2 linked regions of the Anolis sagrei genome follow. The protein of the gene in region 1 purifies or fractionates together with the protein of each later gene. This does not show direct contact. Links are inferred from orthologs where the notes say so. Each region holds a gene or a part of one and is shown in the gene's direction. Other genes may lie near its edges. The genes, in order: DEPDC5 and WDR24.

What was found.
Region 2: the proteins of DEPDC5 (region 1) and WDR24 purify together in Homo sapiens (affinity purification with western blotting; 4 studies listed by BioGRID and IntAct, with this or other methods). This does not show direct contact. The link is inferred for Anolis sagrei from reciprocal best matches to the Homo sapiens genes DEPDC5 and WDR24.

What each region holds. Positions count from the first base shown.
Region 1 is NC_090034.1:49,303,760-49,316,258, reverse strand, and holds the start of DEPDC5 (GATOR1 complex protein DEPDC5), read left to right. Parts: upstream 1-6,462; 5' UTR 6,463-6,682; intron 6,683-11,212; 5' UTR 11,213-11,228; coding exon 11,229-11,286; intron 11,287-11,579; coding exon 11,580-11,667; intron 11,668-12,499. UniProt on the Homo sapiens protein: As a component of the GATOR1 complex functions as an inhibitor of the amino acid-sensing branch of the mTORC1 pathway.
Region 2 is NC_090034.1:26,273,389-26,286,619, reverse strand, and holds the start of WDR24 (GATOR2 complex protein WDR24), read left to right. Parts: upstream 1-6,758; 5' UTR 6,759-6,891; intron 6,892-7,075; exon of another isoform or gene 7,076-7,249; intron 7,250-7,269; exon of another isoform or gene 7,270-7,695; intron 7,696-9,010; 5' UTR 9,011-9,389; coding exon 9,390-9,870; intron 9,871-10,172; coding exon 10,173-10,350; intron 10,351-11,842; coding exon 11,843-12,524; intron 12,525-13,231. UniProt on the Homo sapiens protein: Catalytic component of the GATOR2 complex, a multiprotein complex that acts as an activator of the amino acid-sensing branch of the mTORC1 signaling pathway. The GATOR2 complex indirectly activates mTORC1 through the inhibition of the GATOR1 subcomplex.

The sequences.
Region 1 (12,499 bases):
ATCATTGTGTTATTATAATATTATAAGGTAAAGGTAAAGGTTTTCCCCAGACATTAAGTCCGGTCATGTCCGACTCGGAATTGGTGCTCATCTCCATTTCTAAGCCGAAGAGCCAGTGTTGTCAGTAGACACCTGCAAGGTCATGTGGCCAGCATGACTTCACGGAACGCTGTTATAATATAATATTATATATTACATTATTATAATATTGACAGTTTGAAGCCGGGTCAGGGTGAGCTCCTGACCTTCAGACCCGCTCCCCTGCCCACCTGGTGGATCAAAAACAGCAATGTGAGTAGATGAATAGGAACCACATTAAGCGGGGAGGTATTTTATGTAAGAAATATTAAATATTAACTATTTTGGATTACAAAAGTGTGAGTCAAGCACTGAAAGAGTTAGTAGGTGGAAGCCTGTAAGAGCCAGGGGAACAAAGCTAGTGTCTTCCTGAGAATGAGTAGGCCAAAGCCTGTTAGAGTGAGTGGGCCTAAGCTAGTGTCGTTCTGAGGAGTGTGCGTGAGAAGCTTTGGTGAAAGAAGCCCCAGGTTAAAGGCCTTACTATGTGAAGCTCCAGGATAAGTTCATTGTGAGAGGAGGCTCTGTGAGATTGAGGCTGTTTATCTGCATGAGGAAGAAGCCCAGCATGGAAGGAAAGAAGGAAGTATAAAGGACTTTATTTGTGTTATAGAAACCTTGTTATTGTAAATAGTGCAACTATATTATTTTACTACGAAGAAAAGCCTTCTATGGAAGATATAACTTTGGTCTGTGTGTTTTTGTTCTTTTTATCACTTCTGGTTACTGGTGCTGGGTTACACTGCTACTAATAAGTTACTCTGCTATACATTCATGGGGAGGGTCCTTCATTAATAAGCCCACTCGTCCAACATTTTAGGCACAGCGTTTCGGAGAAAAGTTGACGAAGAAAGAAAACTTTTTGGCAAGGAGGAGGAGCAACAGCACACCCCTGTGGCTGGAACCAAGCACAGCCTCCAAAAGATGCCGAATGATGAGAAATAAGCCTAACCCTAACCCTATCTATTGCCTGTCTTGACATTGTATACTCGGCATTGAATGTTTGCCGTATATGTGTTCTGTGATCTGCACTGAGTCCCCTTCAGGGTGAGACAGCCAAAATAGAAGTACTGTAAATAAATAAAATAAAAATAAAAATATAATATCTATATAAATAAAAATGCAATGTTCATTTGTGGGATTAACATAACTCAAAAACCACTAGACGATTTGACACCAAATTTGGACACAATACACTGATCAGGCCAATTAGTGACCATCACTCATAAAAACACTGAAAAACACAGTAGAAGGGACTTAAAAAGTCACACACCTCCGCCCAAAAGATGCTACAACGCATGCACAAAATGATTCCCCCTGGCAAACAAAACACACAATAGCATATCCACACTCTCTTCCAGACTACAGCTCCCAGCATCCCTTAGATCAGGCCCTTTAGGAGAGGAGGTTTAGCACAGCTGGTAAATCATCAGCAATTATAAGATCTATCAACCAAAAGGTTGCAAGTTCGAAGCCCCAGGTTGGCATGAGCTGCTAACTGTCAGCCTAGCTCATTGTTTACCTAAGCAATTCGAAGACAGCTTTAGCTGTGATTAGAGAAGTTAGGTACCGCTAAAAGTGGGGGAGGTGTTTTACGACGCCATAAAGAAAAAATATCAAAAAATGCTGGTTGACCAAAAGGAAGGAAAAGTCCTGATGGCTCTTCGTCATAGAGAATAGACTCAAGCCCAACCTTCCATGGCACCAAAAACAGCTGGACACTGAGTTGAAAGAAAAGGGGAGGGGGGAGAGAAAGAAGGAAGGAGAGAAGGAAAGAAAAAAAACATAACAAATCTTACTAATGGGAGTTTTAGGGGGTTAAATTATAACCTTATGCATTTTGCCGGGTACCCAAGCTAGTATTATATATATAACATATTAATAAAAGAATACTATAAGAATATAATTATAACAATAAGAATAGAAATATACCTATACAATAATAATATTATACTATAATATAATAATCCTATAAGAATACAATATATAAGAATGATATAACAATAACATAATATTATATTATACTAATATAAGAAGACTATAAATATAAAATGACTATAAGAATATTATATATAAGAATACAAATATAACATATTTATAATATAATATATTACAAAAAGAATATAATATAATAAGACTGTAAGATTATAATATATAACAATAATATAACATAATAATATATACTTATATGCTATAATACTATAATATAATAGAAGAAGAGTGGACTATATAAGAATATAACTGTAATATATAACAATAAAACATACAATAATACTATAATATAATATAGGAATACCATAAGGATATAGTATATAAGAATATATTAGTATAACCTATAATCTATATAAATAAAAATAAAAATGTAATGGTTGTTTGTGGGATTAACAGAACTCAAAAACCACTGGGGGAATTGACACCAAATTTGGATACAATACATCTATCAGGCCAACAAGTGACCATCACTCAAAAGAATTGATTTTGTAATTTGGGAGTTTTAGTTGCTGGGATTTATCGTTTACCAAGAATCAAAGAGCATTCTGAACTCCAGCAAGGGTGGAATTGAACCAAACTTGACACACAGAACTCCCGTGACCAAAAGAAAACACTAGAAGGGTTTAGTGGGCATTGACCTTGAGTTTTGGAGTTGTAGTTCATCTACATCCAGAGAGCTCTGTGGATTCAAACAATGAAGGATCTAGACCAAACTTGGCATGAATACTCCATATACCCAAATATGAACACAGATGGGAGTTTGGGGAAAATAGACCATAACATTTGGGAGTTGTAGTTCACCCAAAATCAAAGAGCATTCTAAACCTCACCAATGATAGAATTGGGCCAAACTCACCACACAGAGACCCCCATAACCAACAGATAATACTGTGCTTTCTGGTGGTCTTTGGCAACCCTTCTGACACCCCCTAGCGACCCCCCAGGGGCCTGATCCCCAGGTTGAGAAATGCAGCCTTAAGGCCTTCTATATTAGTTATACTAGTCCAACTCCCTTCACCAGGACAAGAAAACATAATCAAAGCCCTCCTGATAAAAAGCCACCCAGCCATAGATATAGGTAGATAGACATGATTCATGTGCGCGCACACACACACATATATATGTATATGACAGATATAGTATCATAGATTTGAAAGGGACACCTAAAGAAGGACAATTATATGCTGCATGTTCCAGAGTAGGCAAACCAGACAATCCCTACACCAACACTGACAAAGAAAAAAAAAAGAAATACTGTTTACACACAAGCAGAAAGACATTACATATATTAGAAACCAACAGTTTTTCATTGCCTTATTTTCCAAATCACAAGACTGGACCACAGCAATGCATGACAAGGGACAGCTAGTATTATATAATATAATATATAAGAATACAGCATATAAGAAAAATATAACTATAGTATAACAATTATATAAGACTATATATTACATAAGAATATAACATAATAATATAGAATAGCATAAGACTAAAAGAATATAAAATAAAATATTAATATCTGTAATAATATTATAAGAAAGTAAGGAGAGTATAAGAATAACATATAATAATAATATGAAAATATACTACTATTATTGTTCATTCGTTCAGTCATTTCCAACTCTTCGTGACCTCATGGACTAGCCCACGCCAGAGCTCCCTGTCGGCTGTCACCACCCCCAGCTCCTTCAAGGTCAGTCCAGTCACTTCAAGGATCCCGTCCATCCATCTTGCTCTTGATCGGCCCCTCTTCCTTTTTCCTTCCATTTTCCCCAGCATCGTCTTCTCTAAGCTTTCCTTTCTTCTCATGATGTGACCAAAGTACTTCATCTTTGCCTCTACTATCCTTCCCTCCAATGAGCAGTTGGGCTTTATTTCCTGAAGGTATGGACTGGTTGGATCTTCTGGCGCTCCAAGGCACTCTCAGAACTTTCCTCCAACACCACAGTTCAAAAGCATCTCTCTTCCTTTGCTCAGCCTTCCCTAAGGTCCAGCTCTCACATCCGTAGGTGACTATGAGGAATACCATGGCTTTAACTATGCGGATCTTTGTTGCCAATGTGATGTCTCTACTCTTCACTATTTTATTGAGATTGGACATCGCTCTCCTCCCAAGAAGTAAGTGTCTCCTGATTTCCTGGCTGCAGTCTGCGTCTGCAGTAATCTTCGCTCCTAGAAATACAAAGTCTGTCACTGCCTCCATGTTTTCTCCCTCTATTTCCCAGTTGCTAATCATTCTTGTTGCCATAATCTTGGTTTTTTTTATGTTTAGCTGCAACCCAGCTTTTGCGCTTTCTTATTTCACCTTGATTAGAAGGCTCCTCAGCTCCTCCTCGCTTTCGACCATCAAAGTGGTGTAATCTGCATATCTAAGGTTGTTAATGTTTCTTCCAGAAATGTTTACCCCAGCCTTGCATTCGTCAAGCCCCGCACGTCGCATGATGTGTTCTGCATACAAGTTGAATAGGTTGGGGGAGAGTATACAACCCTGCCGCACACCTTTCCGAATCTTGAACCAGTCTCTTGTTCCATGGTCAGTTCTTACTGTTGCTACTTGGTCCTTGTACAGATTCCTCAGGAGACAGACAAGGTGACTTAGTATGCCCAGACCACCAAGAACTTGCCACAATTTATTATGATCCACACAGTCAAAGGCTTTAGAATAGTCAATGAAACAGAAATAGATGTTTTTCTGAAACTCCCTGCCTTTCTCCATTATCCAGCAGATATTGGCAACTTGGTCTCAGCACAACAACAGAGAGGAAACAAACAAGGACATTTAATCACCTCTCAACAAAAGTTTGCTCCAGGCACTGTTAGGCCATTATATGCTAATCAAGGTGGTCAGTTGAAACATTCACACCTAGCTCCAGCAGACAATTTATTTACTTTATTTATTTACTTTATTGGTATACCGCTCTTCTCAGCCCTTAGGCAACTCAGAGCGGTTTACAACAATTTAGGTATACACAATACAAAATCAGACAAGAGTCCTTTGCCCCACCCTGGTCATTCCACAGATTTATAAACCCATTTTCCTAGTTCCAACAGACCTCACTACCTCTGAGGATGCTTGCCATAGATGCAGGCGAAACGTCAGGAGAGAATGCCTCTAGACCATGGCCATATAGTCCGAAAAAAACCTACAACAGCCCAGTGATTCCGGCCACTAAAGCCTTCGACAATACATTAATTTGGTTTCTCATTCCTCTACTTTTTCTAAACTACTATTATAAGAATAAAATCGTATAAATCTAACAACATATAACATAGCAATAGCACTATAATACATTGTATATTAATATAACAATAACAACATATGGTTTTTGTATGTTTTTTCGGGCTATAGGGCCATGTTCTAGAGGCATTTCTCCTGACGTTTCGCCTGCATCTATAGCAAGCATCCTCAGAAGTAGTGAGGTCTGTTGGAATTAGGACAATGGGTTTATATATCTGTGGAATGGCTGGGGTGGGGCAAAGAGCTCTTCTCTGCTGGAGCTAGGTGTGAATGTTTCAGCTGACCACCTTCATTAGCATTTGAAGGCCTGGCTGAGCCTGGGAAAATGTTTTGTTGAGAGGTGTTAAGATGTGCCTGGTTGTTTCCTCTCTGCTGTTTTGCTGTAGTAATTTTAGAGGGGGTTTTTTTAGAGAGGAAACAACCAGGCACATCTTAACACCTCTCAACAGAACATTTTCCCAGGCTCAGCCAGGCCTTCAAATGCTAATGAAGGTGGTCAGCTGAAACATTCACACCTAGCTCCAGCAGAGATGAGCCCTTTGCCCCACCCCAGCCATTCCACAGATATATAAACACATTGTCCTAATTCCAACAGACCTCACTACCTCTGAGGATGCTTGTCATAGATGCAGGCGAAACGTCAGGAGAAATGCCTCTAGAACATGGCCCTATAGCCCGAAAAAACCCACAAGAACCTAGTGATTCCAGCCATGAAAGCCTTCGACAATACAAATAACAACATAATAATCCAATGATATAATTTTCAAATAGAACATATAAGATGAATATACCATAACTATAAAAATTCTGTAAGAAGAATAGAATAGACTAGAATAACAGTATTATCACCGAATGGCAAGGTCTTCTCTCTGAAGGGGCTTCCTCCCTCCCTCCCTCCTTCCTTCCTCCCCCTCCCCTGAGGGAGGGGCCACTTCCGGCAGAACCCAAGACCGCGCCTCGGTGGGAGCCTTTCTCCTGCTTCTCATTCTTCTCCTCTTGCTTCTCCATCCTTACCTGCTTCGGCCGCCGAGGAGGCCTGCCTCCCTCTCGCGCCGCGACTATCCTCCCGCCCCTCTCGGTGACCCGCCGCCTCCACTTCCGCCTCCGCTCTGTCCCGCCACTCGGTGGTTCTACATCCGGGGACTGACTCCAGTGCCTTCCTTCCGCCTTGTCCCAATCTTAGGAGGAAAGAGATACCCGGATGGGGACGCTCTAGGCCTCCGTGGTGTTTATACACGCGCCGGGAGTCCCGCTCTCCATTCGAAGCCCAGGGCATTCCAGAGGCAAGGGGTGGTTGGGTCTCAGCCTCTCCGCCTCGCCTGGCCCCGCCCCATTTCCCGGTCGCAGTTGGTTCGGCCCGCCATTCAGGAGACCCAGGTGGGTTGAACCATTATGATCTACATAGGGGGGAATCCCGCAGAGGCCTGCCTGCCTGTCTCCCTTCTGTAATATGATACAGTCATAATATAATTGTAATATATTATAATAATATTAATTTAAGAACGATAATGTAATAATATAATACTGATATGATTGTAAGGTAATGATAATATAATAATAATAATCTATATAAATAAAAATGTAGTGTTCGTTTGTGGTATTCACAGAACTCAAAAACCACTGGACGAATTGACACCAAACTTGGACACAATACACCTATCAGGCCAATGAGTGTCCATCACCCCTAAAAACACACTAAAAAACCAGCAGAACCCCCCCCCCCCAAATAAGCTATATATACATATACACCTGCACACATACATACACACACACATGTGTACACAAGCACACACAAATATACACGTACATATAGACATGCACACATACATGCACACATACACATATATTTACATATACACATGCATACATACACATATATACACAAGCACACACATATACACAATATACATATGCACATATACACCTATCTATCTATTTGTGTATATGTGTATATATGTGTGTTTGCATATATAGATAGACAGAGATATATACACACATACACACACACAAACAAACCATATATGCAGACTGGGCCACAGCAACACATGGCAGGGTACGGCTAGTCTATATAAATAAAAATGTAATGTTCATTTGTGGGGTTAACAGAACTCAAAAACCACTGGACAAATTGACACCAAACTTGGACACAATACATCTATCAGGCCAATGAGTGTCCATCACCCCTAAAAACACACTAAAAAATCAGCAGAACGGACTTAAACCCCACCCACCCCCCAATAAACTATATATACATATACACTTGCACACATACATACACACACACATGTACACAAGCACACACAAATATACACATGCACACATACACATATATTTACATATACACATGCATGCATACATAAACATATATACACAAGCGCACACGTATACACAATATACATATGCACACACATACATCTATCTATCTATTTGTGTATATGTGTATATATGTGTGTTTGCATATATAGATAGATAGATAGATAGATATATATACACACATTCACACACACACACACTGTATATACAGACTGGGCCACAGCAACGCATGGCAGGGTATGGCTAGTCTATATAAATAAAAATGTAATGTTCATTTGTGGGGTTAACAGAACTCAAAAACCACTGGGTGAATTGACACCAAACTTGGACACAAGACACCTATCAGGCCAGTGAGTGTCCATCACCCCTAAAAACACACAAAAAACCCAGCAGAACGGACTTAACCCCCCCCAAAATAAACTATATATACATATACACTTGCACACACATACATACATACACACACACATGTACACAAGCACACACAAATATACACATACATATAGACATGCACACATACACATATATTTACATATACACATGCATACATACACATATATACACAAGCACATACAATATACATATACACATATGCACACACACACATATACACCTATCTATCTATCTATTTGTGTATATGTGTATATATGTGTGTTTGCATATATAGATAGAGATACATACACACATACACACACACAAACAAACCATATATGCAGACTGGGCCACAGCAACACATGGCAGGGTACGGCTAGTCTATATAAATAAAAATGTAATGTTCATAGAATCATAGAAACAAAGAGTTGGAAGTGACCTCATGGGCCATCCAGTCCAACCCCCTGCCAAGAGGCAGGAATATTGCATTCAAATCACCCCTGACAGATGGCCATCCAGCCTCTGTTTAAAAGCTTCCAAAGAAGGAGCCTCCACCACACTCCGGGGCAGAGAGTTCCACTGTTCGTTTGTGGGGTTAACATAACTCAAAAACCACTGGACGAATTACTGCCAAACTTGGCCACAAGACGTCAACTAACCCAAGGAGCGACCATCACTCAAAAAAATTGAATTTGGCATTTGGGAGTTGGGGGGAATAGACCTTGACATTTGGGAGTTGAAGTTGCTGGGATTTATAGTTCACCTACAATCAAAGAGCATTCTGAACCCCACGAACGACAGAATTGGGCCAAATTTCCCACACAGAACTCCCATGACCAACAGAAAATACTCAAGGTCATCCAGTCCAACTCCCTTCACCAGAGCAAGAAAAGGTAATCAAAGCCCTCCTGACAAACAACCATAGATATAGATAGATATGATTCACACACGCACAGATATAGTATCATAGATTTGAAAGGGACCCCTGAAGAAGGACAATGATATGTTGCATGTTCCTGAGTAGGCAAACCAGACAATCTCCACATCAACACTGACAAAAAACAACAAGAAATACTGTTTACCCACAAGCATAAAGAAATTACATATATTAGAATTCAACACCTTCTCGTTACTTTATTTTCCAGATCACCAGACTGGGCCACAGCAACATGTGGCAGTGGACGGCTAGTCTATATAAATAAAAATGTAATGTTTGTTTGTGGGATTAACAGAACTCAAAAACCACTGGACGAACTGACACCAAATTTGGACACAATACGCCTATCATGCCAACAAGCCAAAAAACAAAACATGCATTACAATGCATGCGCAAAAAACATATAAACACAAACACACATATATACACATATACACAAATATATACACACACATATATGCATATACATACACACAAAACACAAAAACACAGACTGGGCCACAGCAATGCATGGCAGGGGACAGCTAGTAATCTATATAAATACAAATGTCATGTTCGTTTGTGGGATTAACAGAACTCAAAAATCACTGGACAAATTGCAGCCAAATTTGGCCACGAGACACCTCCTAACCCAAGGAGTGACCTTCACTAAAAAAAAAAATCGATTTTGTCATTTGGGAGTTGTAGTTGCTGGGATTTGTAGTTCACTAACATTTAAAGAGCGTTCTAAACTCCACCAATGATGGAATTGACCCAAACGTGGCACACAGAACTCCCATTAACAACAGAAAACACTAGAAGGGTTTGGTGGGCACTGACCTTGAGTTTGGGACTTGTAGTTCATCTACATCCAGAGATCACTGTGGACTCAAACTTAAAGAGACTTAAAAAGCCAAAAAACAAAAATTACATTACAACGCATGCGCAAAACCACATATATAAACGCAAACACATACACACAGATATACACACATAAAACACATATAGACAGATGGCCACAGCAACATGTGGCAGGGGACGGCTAGTAAATAAGGGGGATTCAGGGCATTTTCCAAGTAACATCACCGAAACATACAAAGTAAACAGCATAACATAAAATTAACAAAACAACATAAGCATAAAATTATCAGAATAACACATGTATATTAAAAGTAATCCTGCCTGTTCAGAGCAATTAAAAGCTGGGACAAAGCTAGTGCAAACTCAAAATATGAGGGAATTAAGATCAGTGCTATAACTCTGGACTAGAACTGGTCATTCTCAAAGGCCACCAGGTCTTCAAGCTCTTACAAAAGGAGGGGAGGGATGGGGCCTGTCTTATTTCCCTTGGAAGGGCGTTCTAGAGGCGGGGGCCACCACCCAGAAGGCCCTCTCTCTTGTCCCCACCGACCCTTCCAATATTTTCGGTTGGTCATGGGAGTTCTGTGTGGCAATTTTGGTTCCATTCATCATTGGTGGAGTTTGGAATGCTCTTTGAATATAGGTGAACTATAAATCCCAGCAACTACAACTCCCAAATGACAAAATCACCCCACCCCACCAGTATTCAAATTTGGCGTATTAGGTATTTTGGGTGCTTCAGAACCCCCCCCCCCCCCCCCCCCCCCCCGCTTTTAAGTGGTACCTATTTATCAACTCATATTTCCTTTCGAACCACTAGGTAAGCGGAAGCTGAGCTAAAGGCCGGGAACTCAGCCTGACTTCAAACTGATAGCCTTTCAACTGACAAAATTAACTGCAGCTGGTGGTTTAACCTGCTGTGCTCAAGCCCAGCATTTTAATAACATTGATAATAAAACTGTAATAAAAGTTTTGTGTATGTGTCAAGAGCGGCTTGAGAAACTGCAAGTCATTTCTGGTGTGAGAGAATAGGCCATTTGCAAAGACGTTGCCTATGGGATGCCCAGATGTTATACCATCCTGTGGGAGGCTTCTCTCATGTCCCTTCATGGAACGCTGGAGCTGACAGATTCAAACCACCGATCTTTTGGTCAGCAGTCCTGCTTGCGAAAGGACAAAACCCATTGCGCCATTGGGTACTCCACTGATCATATTTTTGTTGTTCATTTGTTCAATCGTCTCCGACTCTTCATGACCTCATGGACCAGCCCACGCCAGAGCTCCCAGTCAGCCACTGATTATATACTATAGTAATAATATAATAGTAATATAATAATGATAATATCATTATAATATAATAATTAATGGGGAGATTCTCAGTCCTTGTCTAATGCAATTCTATGGTGAAATACATTTTCTTAAAGGAATATTTCTATTTTTTGAAGGATTTGAAGCCTCAAGATGAAAACCAACAAAGTCTACAAACTCGTCATCCATAAGAAAGGCTTCGGCAGCAGCGGTTAGTTCATGGGAAACTAAATATTGCATATATATATATATATATATATATATATATAATTATTACTGAAGTATAGCATTATAAGTAATATTAAATTATATTATTTTAAAATTATATTATAATAATCAAATATATATTTAAAATATTAAAATATATTATTGTTTTGAAATTATAGATATTGTTCTTATTAAATTATGATTACCGTTATTAAAATATATTATGAAGTATTATATTAAAACATATTATTCTTAAAATATTAATAGTCATAACAATTATTATTTATTGCTTTGCAGATGATGAGCTGGTGGTCAATCCCAAAGTATTTCTTCATATTAAATTGGGAGATATTGTGGAAATCGCTCACCCCAATGACGAATACAGGTCAAATATTAATTATTAATGTTATTATTTTAAGTTTTCATGTATTTATATTCTAATGCATTTGTCCTGTTTTTATGAGCATAGTATTATTTATATATCTGTATTAGGAGGAAATTGGGATAAAAATAAAGAAAATATAATAATTGTTATAGTAAAGGCTTTCTGTATATATTTCAGATTTCAATATTAATGTCAAAAAGACGTATGATTTTCCATAGGATTTGTGCTACATTAGAATAGTAAAGACAAATATCACTTAAGTAAAATAAGCGTTAAATATTAAATAACCAGAAAAATAAACTAAGGTGTAAACACTAAACTAATCCTGTATATTATATAAATGATCCAAAAAGCTACAGACCAATCTCCCTGTTGTGCCACCTCTACAAAGTTCTGGAGGGACTTATTTTGCATAGAATTATGGAAAAACTAGACCCCTGTCTGATCCCACAGCAAGCTGGCTTCATAAAAGGCAAAAGCTACACATCGCAAGTGTTGAACCTCACTCAGCACATAGAAGATGGTTTTGAAAGGCAGCAGATCACAGGAGCTGTCTTCATATACCTGTCAGCAGCCTATGATACTGTGAACCACCGCCTCCTCCTGAGAAAAATGTATGATATCACAAAGGACTACCACCTCACCCGCCTCTTAGGAAACTTGTTACAAAACAGGAGCTTTTTCCAGGGTCAGAGAAGCAGATGGCGGAAACAGAAGAACGGCCTGCCTCAGGGGAGCGTGCTTGCCCCATCCATGTTCAACATCTACACAAATGACCAGCCACTGCCAGAAGGGACAGAGAGTTTCATCTACGCTGATGATCGTGCCATTA
Region 2 (13,231 bases), about 23 Mb from region 1:
CTCATGAACAAACTTGCTTTTGACAACCACTTTTTTAAAAAAACATTGGTATTTCTTCGGTGCGAAACATTTTGTTGCCATAACATCTTTGTAAAGCTTTAAGCCAGCCTATTTTTTTAGGGTGACGTTTTACAACTCCCTGCTCTTTCATCCTGCCTTGCGTATCCTGCAGAACTGCATGATTGTGAGGGTTGGGTAAGTGAATGTGGGAGTTGGGGTGGGTTTTTTTTTTAGGGGGAGGCCTTGCCTGTTGTGGGTCATAGATGGGGTTCCTGGTCACGTGATTCAATATCCCGCCTCAAACTCCCCTGAAGCTTGACGGGAGAGTGGAGAACGGATTACGCGATTCCAAAGGGGGGAGGGAATCTATTTGAACATGCCATTTGCTAGCTTCAGCCGTCTCAAAGGTTGGCTCTCTGGAAAACTCTGTACACTGCTGAGGAAACTTCATAGGCTCTGTAATATTTAAACCTTTAATTTCACAGATTTGGAAATGACTGAATATGTAGGGATCCATCTCTGGATGGCCAAGCATCAGGTGATTCCTTATTTGATTGACAGTATTTTTAACCCTTATCTCCAGAAAAGCAAAGAATGATATGAAAAGGGGGATGGGGGGGGGCGCACAAACTCAGGCATGAATTGCAATTATAAATTCCAAAATTTTTACAGAAATAGGGTTGAACTGAAACATCTCCGAAAAGGAGGGAAATGGAATGTGGGTGCTTTCAAACAGGTTTCCATTATCAAATGATATTCAATGGCTGTTGCAGGCTTTCTTCCTTAATGGGAATTTTCTGCAGGAAAAACAAGGGTGGAAGAAATGGTGGTAAAACATGGTGCAAATTTGGAAGACATATGGATCACTACACAGTTGATTAAATGAAGCATGGCAACTGCACGGAAAAATCTTGTCCTCAGGTATCCCTGATCTCTCAGCCAAATTGCCACTCCATATCTCCTGCTTCAGTTGGATAGAATGGCTGCTATTAGGCGAGCACTTGGACTTTATGGAGTACTAATAGTAGAGCTGCTGGTGATATATTTCCTTCTCCAGTGATTAAGGCATATATGTGTTACACCAGCAGTGTCAGAACAACTAACAAGGGATGACACAAGTGCTTTTGTAATGTAATTGTGGCTCTTTTTATTCACTTTTATACTTGCACAGCCTCGCTATTTGGGTTTTTTGGGACCTTGAGCCAATAGTATGCGTTTTTTCTGACGTCTTTTAAAAACATAAATATTTTTAGTTACTTAAAAACCCTAGGAAATCAAACAGTTACATTTTAAAATGGCAAGCACAATGCAAACAAAACCTTTGCTTCCTGACCCATAACATTAACTAATAGTAACAAACTGTTGTCCCCTGACACATAATATTGTTTTAAATTTACGTTCCAGCTTCCATTATGTGTGAGAGACGCCAAAGACCAGATTTTTTTTTCACCACAGCTGATAAATCCACTCTGCTTTTCATTTCTTCAGTTGCTGTATATACAAAAGAAAGAAATGTTACCTCCAGAGTCTGGTCTCTGAGCATTCAATAGCAGCCAAATGATTACAAGAGAGTAGGAAATTGGTGAGGTTTTCATTTGGCTTTTTTGAAATAAGGTCCCATCTACACTGCCTAATTATCCAGTTCCTGAATCCAGACAATCTGCTTTGAACTGGATTATATGGCAGTGTAGACTCATATCATTCAGTTCAAAGCAGAGCATCTGGAAGAAGTCCCCATAATGAACTTCATAAATTTCATGAAAAGAATGGGAGGAAGACATTCATATCAAAAAAAGAAATGGTCAGATTGACTTAATGAAGCAGAAGTCATCAATTGATTAGTTTAAATGACTACTCCTCTGCATTTGGAATACTGAATCTGTGCAGCCAATTATTTGCTTTTCTTTAATACCTGCAGAGGAAGCAGGTGTAACTATTTGATTTCCTTAGTTTGCTGTTAAGCATTTACAAAAATTGGCAAATTTCTTCATTAAAAGAAACAATGGAAATAAGTTGAGGCTAATTTTACAAAAGGATGTTGGATAATAATAATAATAACAATAATAATAACAACAACAACAACATTATTCTTGTATCCAGTCACCATCTTCCCGAAGGGACTCGGGGCAGCTTACACAACAGCACAAGATGCCTAAAACCAAAACATAAAATAAGACACAGTATAAAATACAACAGAATAATACATATAGGCATATAAAACAACAACTTAAGACTCAATAAAACAGCACTCAATAAATAATGGCGATAAGCTACAATAAACATGGCTAGGCTGTAAACAATAGGACAAGGGAATGGGTAAGTGCAAAGAGAAAACAAAGTGGGATTGTCCTATCCTTCAAAACAATAAAAATTGAAGGAGTGTTCAACATTTTGGGAGTTGGAAAAGTACCCAATCAGCTCCGGGATTTGAATGCCAAGTTTCAATATGAAAAGACTAATAATAGTCTAAATCCACTCAGAGACAAAAGAGCAGCAGCAAATCCATATTCGGTCAAATGCATAACAGAGAGATATAGGAACCATTTACGTTTGGATCATTAAAAGGGGTGGGGTGAACAGTCCAAATTAGCATGTGGTACTAATATATATTGTCATACACACGATTTACTGTTGACTGTAAATGTGACACAGATCTGTATTAGAATTTTGGTCCCCAATAAGCCTTTCTGCTTGGGTGAGTATATTAGAAAAGAGATGGCTTATATCCTATGCCTGAATGATATCTTGTGGGGGGGGGGGGGGGGGATACTAAGCAGAAGACCAAAAACACTCCCCCCCCCCCCCCCCCAGTTTTCACATTATCTGTGAGCAGAAGCTTCAGTGGGTTGCTGTGAGTTTTCCGGGCTGCATGGCCATGTTCTAGAAGCATTCCCCCCTGATGTTTCGCCAACATCTATGGCAGGCATCCTCAGAGGTTATGAGTTCTGTTGGAAACTACTTACTTACTTAGGCGATCCCTCGTTGAACAAGTAAGATAGTCTTCCAGGAGCAGTATTCTGGTGGGTCCGTGGGTGACTGTAGAGCCCTATTCTTGATCTGCATCTTCTCCCGCAGTGAGGGCATTGGTTTCCAGGTGGAAGGCGGTCTCGGTCGGGGTTGGCTTGACGCGCCTTCCTCTTGGCATGTTTCTCTCTTTCACCCTCCATTCGTGCCTCTTCAAATTCTACAGCACTGTTGGTCACAGCTGACCTTCAGCTGGAGCGCTCAAGGGCCAGGGCTTCCCAGTTCTCAGTGTCTATGCCAGAGTTTTTAGGGTTGGCTTTGAGCCCATCTTTAAATCTCTTTTCCTGTCCACCAACATTCCGTTTTCCATTCTTGAGTTCGGAGTAGAGCAACTGCTTTGGGAGACGGTGGTCGGGCATCTACGCAAGTGGGGTTTATATACCTGTGGAATAAAGTCCAGGATGGGGAAAAAGAACACTTGTCTGTTCGAGGCAAATGTGAATGTTGCAATGAGCCACCTTGATTAGTATTGAATAGCCTTGCGGTTTCAAAGCCTGGCTTGACAAGAGTTCTTTCTCCCACTCTAGACATTCCACAGTGATTCTGGCCATGAAATCCTTCATTAACACACAGAAGCTTCAGTGTCCAGAGTTTTCCATCCAGAGTTTTCCATTTGAGACCATCACAAGGGAAAGGCAAGTAAGTCTGAGGTGGGGCACAGAAGACAAAGCCATTGAATAGCAGAGAGTGCCTTCAGAAAGGGTGTGTCCCATCCCCCCCCCCCCCCCCCCCGGCTGTAGATTGGAGGTGGTGTTTTTTTTTGAACAAGAACTCCCAGAATCCCACCATCAATGGTCATGCTGGCTGTGAGATTCTGAGAGCGGTAGTCCAAAAAGCCATTATCCCAAGTCCTGACATGTCCTTTTCTTATCAAAGAGAGGAGTGGGTGCTATCAGAAATTGATCCTTGGACCAGATGATTTGCAGCAGTCACCTTCTCTTGCTGGAGTCAAATGCGAATATAAATTGCAAAGGAACCCACAAGGAGAAAGGGTCATACTCCAAATACAGTAATGCTGTGCAAGGAAGTTAAGTATGGATTAGTTTTGCATTTGGAAAACATCATAGCAGGGACAGCATTTTTTTTCAGGGACTTCCTTGCCTTGCATCCCTGCAGTCATTTGGAGCAGTGATGCAAGACAAGGAAAAGGGACAATGAGTATAGTCAGGAACATGAGACATGGGACCAAGAAATCCCTGAATTACATTTTAATTTTGCCATGAATGCACTTAGGTTGGATCTACACTGCCACATAATCCAGATGATCAAAACAGATTATTCAGATTATCTCCTTTGAACTGGATTATATGAGTCTACACTGCCATAGAATCCAATTCAAAACAGATAATCTAGATGTTATATGACAGAGTAGATCCAGGCTACATGGGTCTATCACCTTCGTCTTCTCCCCCGCCCCCTCCTCTTCTTCTTCTTCTTCTGTGTTGTCGCGAAGGCTTTTATGGCCAGAATCACTGGGTTGCTGTGAGTTTTCTGTGCTGCATGGCCATGTTCCAGAAGCATTCTTACCTGACGTTTTGCCCACATCTATGGCAGGCATCCTCAGAGGTTGTGAGGTCTGTTGGAAACTAAGCAAGTGATTGTTTCGTGCCTGGAATTGTTTCATGCCAGGAATCCCCCTTTTTCTGAATGCTATTCTTTAATTACTGTCCTGATTTTAGAGTTTTTAAATACTGGTAGCCAGATTTTGTTCATTTTCATGGTTTCCTCCTTTCTGTTGAACAACTTTCAGAAAATGGGAATTCCAGACAGGAAACAATCAGGGCCAGCTAACATCTCCAAACAAAGGATTCCCTCAGACAGGAAGCAGACAGGATTTGAAGCTGCAAGGCCATTCAATGCTAATCAAGTTAGTCAGTTGCAATATTCACACTTGCCTCAAGCAGACAAGAGTTCTTTCTCCCACCCTGGACATTCCACAGATATATATACCCCACTTGCCTAGTTTCCAACAGACCTCACAACGTCTAAGGATGCCTGCCATAGATGTAGGCGAAATGTCAGGAGAGAATGCTTCTGGAACATGGCCATACAGCCTGGAAATCTCGCAGCAACCTTATTATTATTACCTTTATTCATATCCTGCTTTTATCCCAATGGAGACTCAAGGCAGCTAATAATAATAATAATAATAATGATGATGATGATGATGTAGTGTAGATCCAGCCTCAGACTGCAAATCACATTATATCTGCATTAAACTCTCAATGTAAACAGAATCAAGAGAAATGGTTGCAAAGAGATAGTGGAAAATGGGAAAAAGTCGAATGAGAAAGAAGTGTTAGAAAAGATACTGAAAGCAAAGGTGTAAAGTTGGCCATTTGGTGAAGCCAGTGCAAACAGCAATATTCTAAATGACTCCTATTTTGGATCTGGCCGAGAGTTGACTCCATTTCCTGCAAGAGTGGCACTAATGTCTTGGTCCAAGAGTTTTCGGGCACAACCCCTTAGGAGGAATGTCTTCGGTGAAAGCCGCATTGACATATATATGGGAACAGCTCCCTTTGTTCATGGAGGCTTGCATGGGAGACATTGCACCATTGTCCCCATTGCACCTCTATTTAAAGTATCCGCTGGTCCAAAGTCTTATTTAAAACGATGGAAGCTGTGATGTTTCAAATGACTATAAAAGGGAGGGGAAAGAAGAAAATAATAAAATTCTAAAAAATCATTTTCTTACTGTATATATATAAGCCTCCTTCTCCTGTATATTCCGAAGATATAACCTTATATTTGGTAAGTGTTTCTTGTGCTATTTTATCACGTGACCTGTTTATAAAAATATATATTAAAAAACTTTAAAAATACAAAACGACTGATTTAGTATCTTTGAAGCATTACACAGCTAACATATTTGTATTTCTATATATTTTATTATATATATTTTACTTATATATTATAAATAATATATTTTATATTATTGTATTTGTATTATATATATTTATATATATTATATTGTTATTTGAATTTTATATATTTTATCATATCTGTTTTATTATTTATATATTATATTTTATATTATTATATGTATTTTTATTTTATATATTTTATTACATCTATTATTTACTCATATATTATACATTTTATTATATACTATATATTTTATTTATATATTACATAATATATATTTTATATTATAATATGTATTTGTATTTTTATATATTTTATTATCTATTTTATTTATATATTCTGTATATTTTGTTATTGCATACCATATATTTTGTTATATATTAGATACTATATATTTTATTTATATATTACATAAAATATAGTTTGTATTATAATATGTATTGTATTTTCATATATTTTATTATATCTATTTTATTTTATACATATATATATATATATATACTATATATATTGTTATTGCATACCATATATTTTATGTTATTTATATATTAGATACTATATATTTTGTATTATAATATGCATTTGTATTTTGTATCTTTTATTATATCTATTTTATTTATATATTATATATGTTACTTTATTATATGCTATATATTTTATATTTTATTTATATATATTATGTATTTTATATTATTATTATTTTTATTATTACTACCATTTCTGTTTTCAAAGTAATAATTACTATATTATGACTATTCTATTAGTCTACTTATTATCCTCCTCTATGGCTGTAGGCCTTTGCTGCTGCGAGGGCGGGGCGGCCTAGGCTGCGGGCGGAAGGGGCGGGCCTGCCTTCCCGCGGAGGAGGGGGGGGAGGAGGAAGAGGCGGAAGAAGGAAGCAAGGAGGGCGGAGAAGTGGCCTCCCGAAGAGCCGGGGTCTTTCCCAGTCGAGAGCCCGCTCGAGCCCGGCTGCTGCTGCTGCTTTTCCGTCGCCGCCAGGTGAGACGCGGCCTAGTCGTTTTACCTCAAGCCTGGCTTCCCTCATGGCGTGCGCTTCTGAGGAGAACTTCTGAGAGTGCGGCCTACTTCGGCAAGACACAGGGAGAGAAATCAGCACGCATGCGCCAGCTTCGCCCCACCCTTCGGCTTTGGCCTACTCTGGCAAGACAGTAAAAGAAAGATTAGAAGCACGCATGCGCAGCTGGAGCTTGGGGCGAAGTCTGCGCATGCGTGAGGCCTAAGCTGCCGGAAATGTGGAAGGATCATTATTTTTATTACTTTGTATTTGAAAAAGTCATTTTTTAAATTTTACCTAACGCAGAAAGTGATGGGTAAACTGCAGCTCACATTATGTCAGGTTAGCCCCTGAAACTTTGTTATGTTGGGCAGGTTTGCTCCAGATGCATCGTTGGTGGGAGTCAGTGTGATCTCTGGCTGTAGAGTACACTAGAGGTTAGTCCCCTCAAATCCCTCCAGTCCTTCCTTGCTTTACTGACTTAGGTGAGCCCTCGTAGCTCGAGGATGATGGTCTTCCAGATGTGGGGTCTTCGCGGTGGTTCCATAGGTGGCTGTGGAGCCCTGTTCTTGACCCACATGTTCTCCCGCAGTGAAGACATCAGTTTCCAGATGGAAGGTGGTCCTGGTCAGGGTTGGCTTGACGCGCCTTTTGGCACGTTTCTCCCTTTCGCCCTCCATTTGTGCCTCTTCGAATTCCACAGCACTGCTGGTCACAGCTGACCTCCAGTTAGAGCACTCAAGGACCAGGGCTTCCCAGTTCTCAGAGTCTATGCCACAGTTTTAAAGGTTAGTTTTAAGCCCATCTTTAAATCTCTTTTTCTGTCCACCAACATTCTGTTTCCCGTTCTTGAGTTCAGAGCAGAGTAACTGCTTTGGGAGATGGTGATCGGGCATTCGGACAACGTGCGATGCGTTTTAGGAGCATCGCTTCAATGCTGGTGGTCTTTGCTTCTTCCAGCATGCTGACATTTGTCCATCTCTCTTCCCAAGAGATTTGCAGACTTTCAGAGGCAGTGCTGATGGAATCGTTCCAGGAGTTGCATATGACATCTGTAGACAGTCCACATTTCACAGGCATATAACAGGGTTGGGAGGACAATGGCTTTATAAACAAGCACTTTGGTCTCCCTACGGACTTCCCAGTCCTCAAACACTCTCTCCTTCATTCGGAAAAATGCTGCACTTGGAGAGCTCAGGCAGTGTTGTATTTCAGTATCAATGTTAATTTTTGTGGAGAGGAGGGTACCAAGGTAGTGGAAATGGCTAATATTTTCTAATGTTACACCATTAAGCTATATCTCTGGCATTGCAGAGGGATTGACTGGTGACTGCTGGAAGAGCACTTTGGTTTTCTCAATGTTCAATGAGAGGCCGAGCTCATATGCTTCTGCAAAGGTGCTTGGAGTGACTTGTAGGCCATCTTCTGAATGAGCACAGACAACATTGTCATCAGCATATTGGAGTGCTATAACAGATGTTGTTGTGATCTTGGTTTTGGTTTTCAGTCTGCTGAAGTTAAATAGCTTGCCCTCTGTCAATAAAATATTCCTTATTATTAACATTTTTATTATTATTTGCTACTAATATAGCAAAAGCCAACACATTCTTTAATTATTATTATTAGCTATTTTTATAGCACTACCAATGTCCATGGTGCTGTGCAAGTAAAAACCAAAACCAAGGAATGTACATGGCACTGTACAAATACAAATAAAAAACAAATTCCTTATTGTTATAATTTGTATTATTATTGTTGTTAGCTACTTATATAGCAAAAGCATCCTCTCTTATAATTATTCCCTATTTATATAGCACCATTGATGTACATAATGCTGTACAAATACAAAACCAGTGAATTTCTTACTATTACAATTTTTATTTACATAGGACCATCACTGTACAAGTAAAAAACAACAACAGCGGTCCGCTATGCCAAGGAGGCTGTTTAATGTGCAGGAGAGATTATTATTTATTATTATTAGGCCACCAATATATATGCAACTTAATTTAATTCTTCTTAAATGTCAAGAATTGCTAATTTCCATTATTTAATATTGTTGCTTTTTTATGACGTGTGTTGGTTTGCTTCCCTCCCGTATAGTGTTATCCTTTGTTGGAGAAGATTTTGTTGGATTTCTTCAGTCAAAACTTCTTTCAGGAAAACAGAAAACATTCTCCAAACATTTTCTTCGGAGTAAAGTGGGAAAAGGGAAAGTCTTCGTCATATCACCAAGAGATTTCAGTGGGAGATAACAAGGTCTGTTAAATAAACTTTTGACTTAACTGCCATTAGCTCGCATCTGCTTTGATGGATTCAGCAACTCTTGCTCATGTTAAGAAGTTGTAGAAACTCCTCTGACAGGCTGGGTTGTAAAGGACTAGCTGCCGACAGAAGGTATCTTATTTTTATGATGGCGTGTTTGGGGGTATAATTGTTGAAGCCCTTGCTTTGTGATCTAGGAAGTCTAGGGAAGGCCGCCATGGAGAAAATGGCGAGAGTGACCACTGCCCTTGGTGGCAACACGATCACTGGGCGGACCATGTTCTGCCACCTGGACGCCCCTTCCAATGCCATCAGCGTGTGCCGGGATGCGGCCCAGGTTGTGGTGGCGGGGCGCAACATCTTCAAGATCTACTCCATTGAGGAGGATCAGTTCGTAGAGAAGCTGAACCTGCGTGTCGGCCGCAAGCCCTCTCTGAATTTTAGCTGTGCCGACGTGGTCTGGCACCAGATGGACGAGAATCTGCTAGCCACGGCAGCCACCAATGGCGTGGTGGTGACCTGGAACCTCGGCAAGCCCTCCCGCAACAAGCAGGACCAGCTCTTCACTGAACACAAGCGCACTGTCAACAAGGTGTGCTTCCACCCGACTGAAGTGTACATGCTGCTGAGCGGCTCTCAGGACGGCTACATGAAGTGCTTCGACTTGCGCAAGAAGGATTCAGTGAGCACCTTCTCGGGTAAGGGCTGGTTTGTTATTGGTTCTTTACCTTGGGACTACTTCCTCCTAGCGTTTTCCCTGCCTCTTGAAAATACCTTCATTCTGTCCACATAATTCAGTTATTAGAATTAGGTCAGAGCTTTCCAAACTGTGTGTCGGGACACACTGGTGTGCTGCATGAGCAACTTCAGCTCACATATTTGAAACTAGGACAAGTTTACTTTGTGCATTTCCTTGTTTCTCCTGTGATAACTCAGAATTGCAAGGCAAGGTCTACCAAATGCCAGACATGCCAAACATGCTATCCCTTGCCTTCTTCAGGACAATCAGAAAGCGTGCGTGATGTCCAGTTTAGCATTCGAGATTACTTTACCTTTGCTGCAACTTTTGAAAATGGCAACGTTCAGCTGTGGGACATCCGCCGTCCGGATCGCTACGAAAGGATGTTCACAGCCCACAATGGGCCTGTATTCTGTTGTGACTGGCATCCAGAGGACAGGTATGGGCAGATAGCATTTGTTTTTCCCCCAAAAGTGCTGTTTCTGATCTTCCAGTACCCTACTTTTTTCTTGTCCCTTTCCTCTATTATTCATGTTTTGTCCTTCTTGCATTTTAGACTTAATAGACAAACAGTCACTTGAAAATTGACTTTTAAAATGGACTACCGTATATACTCGAGTATAAGCCAACCCAAATATAAGCCAAGGCATCTAAGTTTACCACAAAAAAACTGGGAAGACTTATTGATTTGAGTATAAGCTGCGGGTAGGAAATCCAGCAGCTACTGGTAAATTTCAGAATAAAATAGATAGCAATAAAATGACCTTAATTGAGGCATCAGTAGGTTAAATGTTTTTGAATATTTACATAAAATTGTAATTTAAGATAAGACTGCCCAACTCTGATTAGACCATTATTTTAATCTTCTTCAGTGTAAATGTGCTTATCCTTCCAATAATAATAGAGTAAAATAATAAATGTAATAATAATAATAATAGAGTAAAATAATGTACATGTAATAATAACAGTAAGAATAGATAAAAGGTAAATGTAATAATAATAAGTAGAGTAAAATAATCTAAATGTAATATAATAATAATAGAGTAAAATAATAAATATAGTAATAATAATAATAAAAGCAGAGTATACCTTTCCTCGAGTATAAGCCGAGTAGGATTTTTTCAGCCTAAAAAAGGGCTGAAAAACTCAGCTTATACTTGAGTATATGCAATACTTGGTTTTAAAGGGGTTTTGGTACTATTTTAATTTTTTTAAGCATTACAGATACACGTTCCTATAAAAATCAGAGTTCTTCACTCAAGAAGAAGTGGGATATTTTCCTACATTTTAATAGATTCTGGACACTGTACTAAAGAATGAGGATAGTGTCACCTGGATATATTCAATAAATGGGGGAAGCATTTGCGGAAGAGCAAGGGGCTTCACTGTATTACACTATGTAATAAAATTTGGAAAATGTTCTGTTCCTGGTTTGAAAGTGTTATTTCCTGTTTAATTGTGCGATAGTTACTTTGAAAGTAGTTGTTATATTCCAGAAACTTCATATATGCAGTTTAATAAACTTTTTTTCTATATTTTTTGTATTTTATTGATTGTTTATTGATGTTGTGTTTAATATACTTTGGGCTTGGCCTCATGTAAGCCGCACCGAGTCCCTTGGGGAGATGGTAGTGGGGTACAAATAAAGTTTATTATAATATTATTATTATTATTATTATCATAGAACTAATTAAAAATGACATTTATCACTCAGGAACAAAAAACATGTTACATAGTGTTGTTGTTATGTTCATTTATACCCCACTTTTTCTCTCCACAAGGACATCAAAGTTCATTGTGAATCTCTGAGCAGTTTAACGGAATTGTGAATGGCTCAAATGTCTGCATAAGGCAGCATTTAGGATGTGTTGATTCTCGAACTGTTGTTTCCTTGCTCTTGAGGTGTCTCTGTGTTGTTGCCCTTCCTCTAGGGGTTGGCTGGCCACTGGGGGCCGAGACAAGATGGTCAAGGTCTGGGACATGAACACCAACCGGGCCAAAGAGATCTACTGCGTGCAGACAATCGCATCTGTGGCAAGGGTCAAGTGGCGGCCGGAATGCAAGCACCACATTGCCACCTGCTCTATGATGGTGGACCACAACATCTACGTGTGGGATGTTCGCCGTCCATTCATTCCTTCAGCCATGTTCGAAGAGCACAAAGACGTGACCACGGGGATTGTGTGGCGGCATCTCCACGATCCTTATTTCCTCCTCTCTGGTTCCAAGGATAGTACTCTTTACCAGCACATCTTCAAAGATGCTAGCCAGCCAATTGACCGGGCGAACCCTGAAGGGCTTTGCTATAGCCTCTTTGGGGACTTGGCTTTTGCGGCCAAAGAGAGTCTAATTTCCTCGGATTCTAATCGCAAGCCTTACATCGGCGACCGGCGGCACCCTATTTTCTTCAAGCGCAAGTTAGACCCCACAGAGCAGTTTGAATTTATCTCCTCTTCCAGTGCCTTGAGTGTCTTTGAGGCAGAAACAGAGTGCGATGTTGGGAGCATGGATTGGTTTGTGCGGACTGCCAAGCAGTATGTGTTGACAGGGAGACCTCTAGCAGAACTGTGTGACCATAATGCCAAAGTAGCCAAGGAGCTCAAACGCAATCAGGTATGTATGGGCTCCATCTGTTTGGCTGCATGTTGTAAAGCAATATACCAATAAACTGCATAAAATTGCGAAGAGCATGGTATGGGCTGCTTATCCAGTTCACACTGGAGGAGTGTCACCATTAGTTGGAGTTGCTGTATTTGATTCTGAACCTGGTTATCTTCCATAGCTGCTCCAACCCAAAGTAACTGAAATAATTTTTGCTGAAATGGAATGTTTGGGTTGGGGCCAGGTTCATAGTCTTAAGTTAGGCCCTGAAAGAAAAGGTGTAATTTTGTTTGGCAGATAAGAATTAGAGCTGCTTAGTCTATAATTGTCATGCTACCTCCCATCTGTGGGTGTTTGATGCTTCTGTTGGCCTAAAAAAGCCTTTGGGACGAAGGCCTCTTCTACACAGCCATATAAAATCCAGATTGTCTGCTTTGAACTGGATTATATGGCAGTGTAGACTCATATAATCCAGTTCAAAGCAGATAATGTGGTTTTTCATCTTTGATAATCTGGAGGTGCCTATGGATAACGCTGGCTCTTTGGCTTAGAAATTGAGATGAGTATCATCCCCCAGATACGGACACGACTAGACTTAATGTCAAGGGGAAACCTTTACCTTTTTTTATTAGATTTGATGGCACATGAGACTTGAGTCAATATGGGTAGTTTCCAACTTTGTAACCTTGGTTGGGGCTGAGAGTTTTGTATTGGTTGAC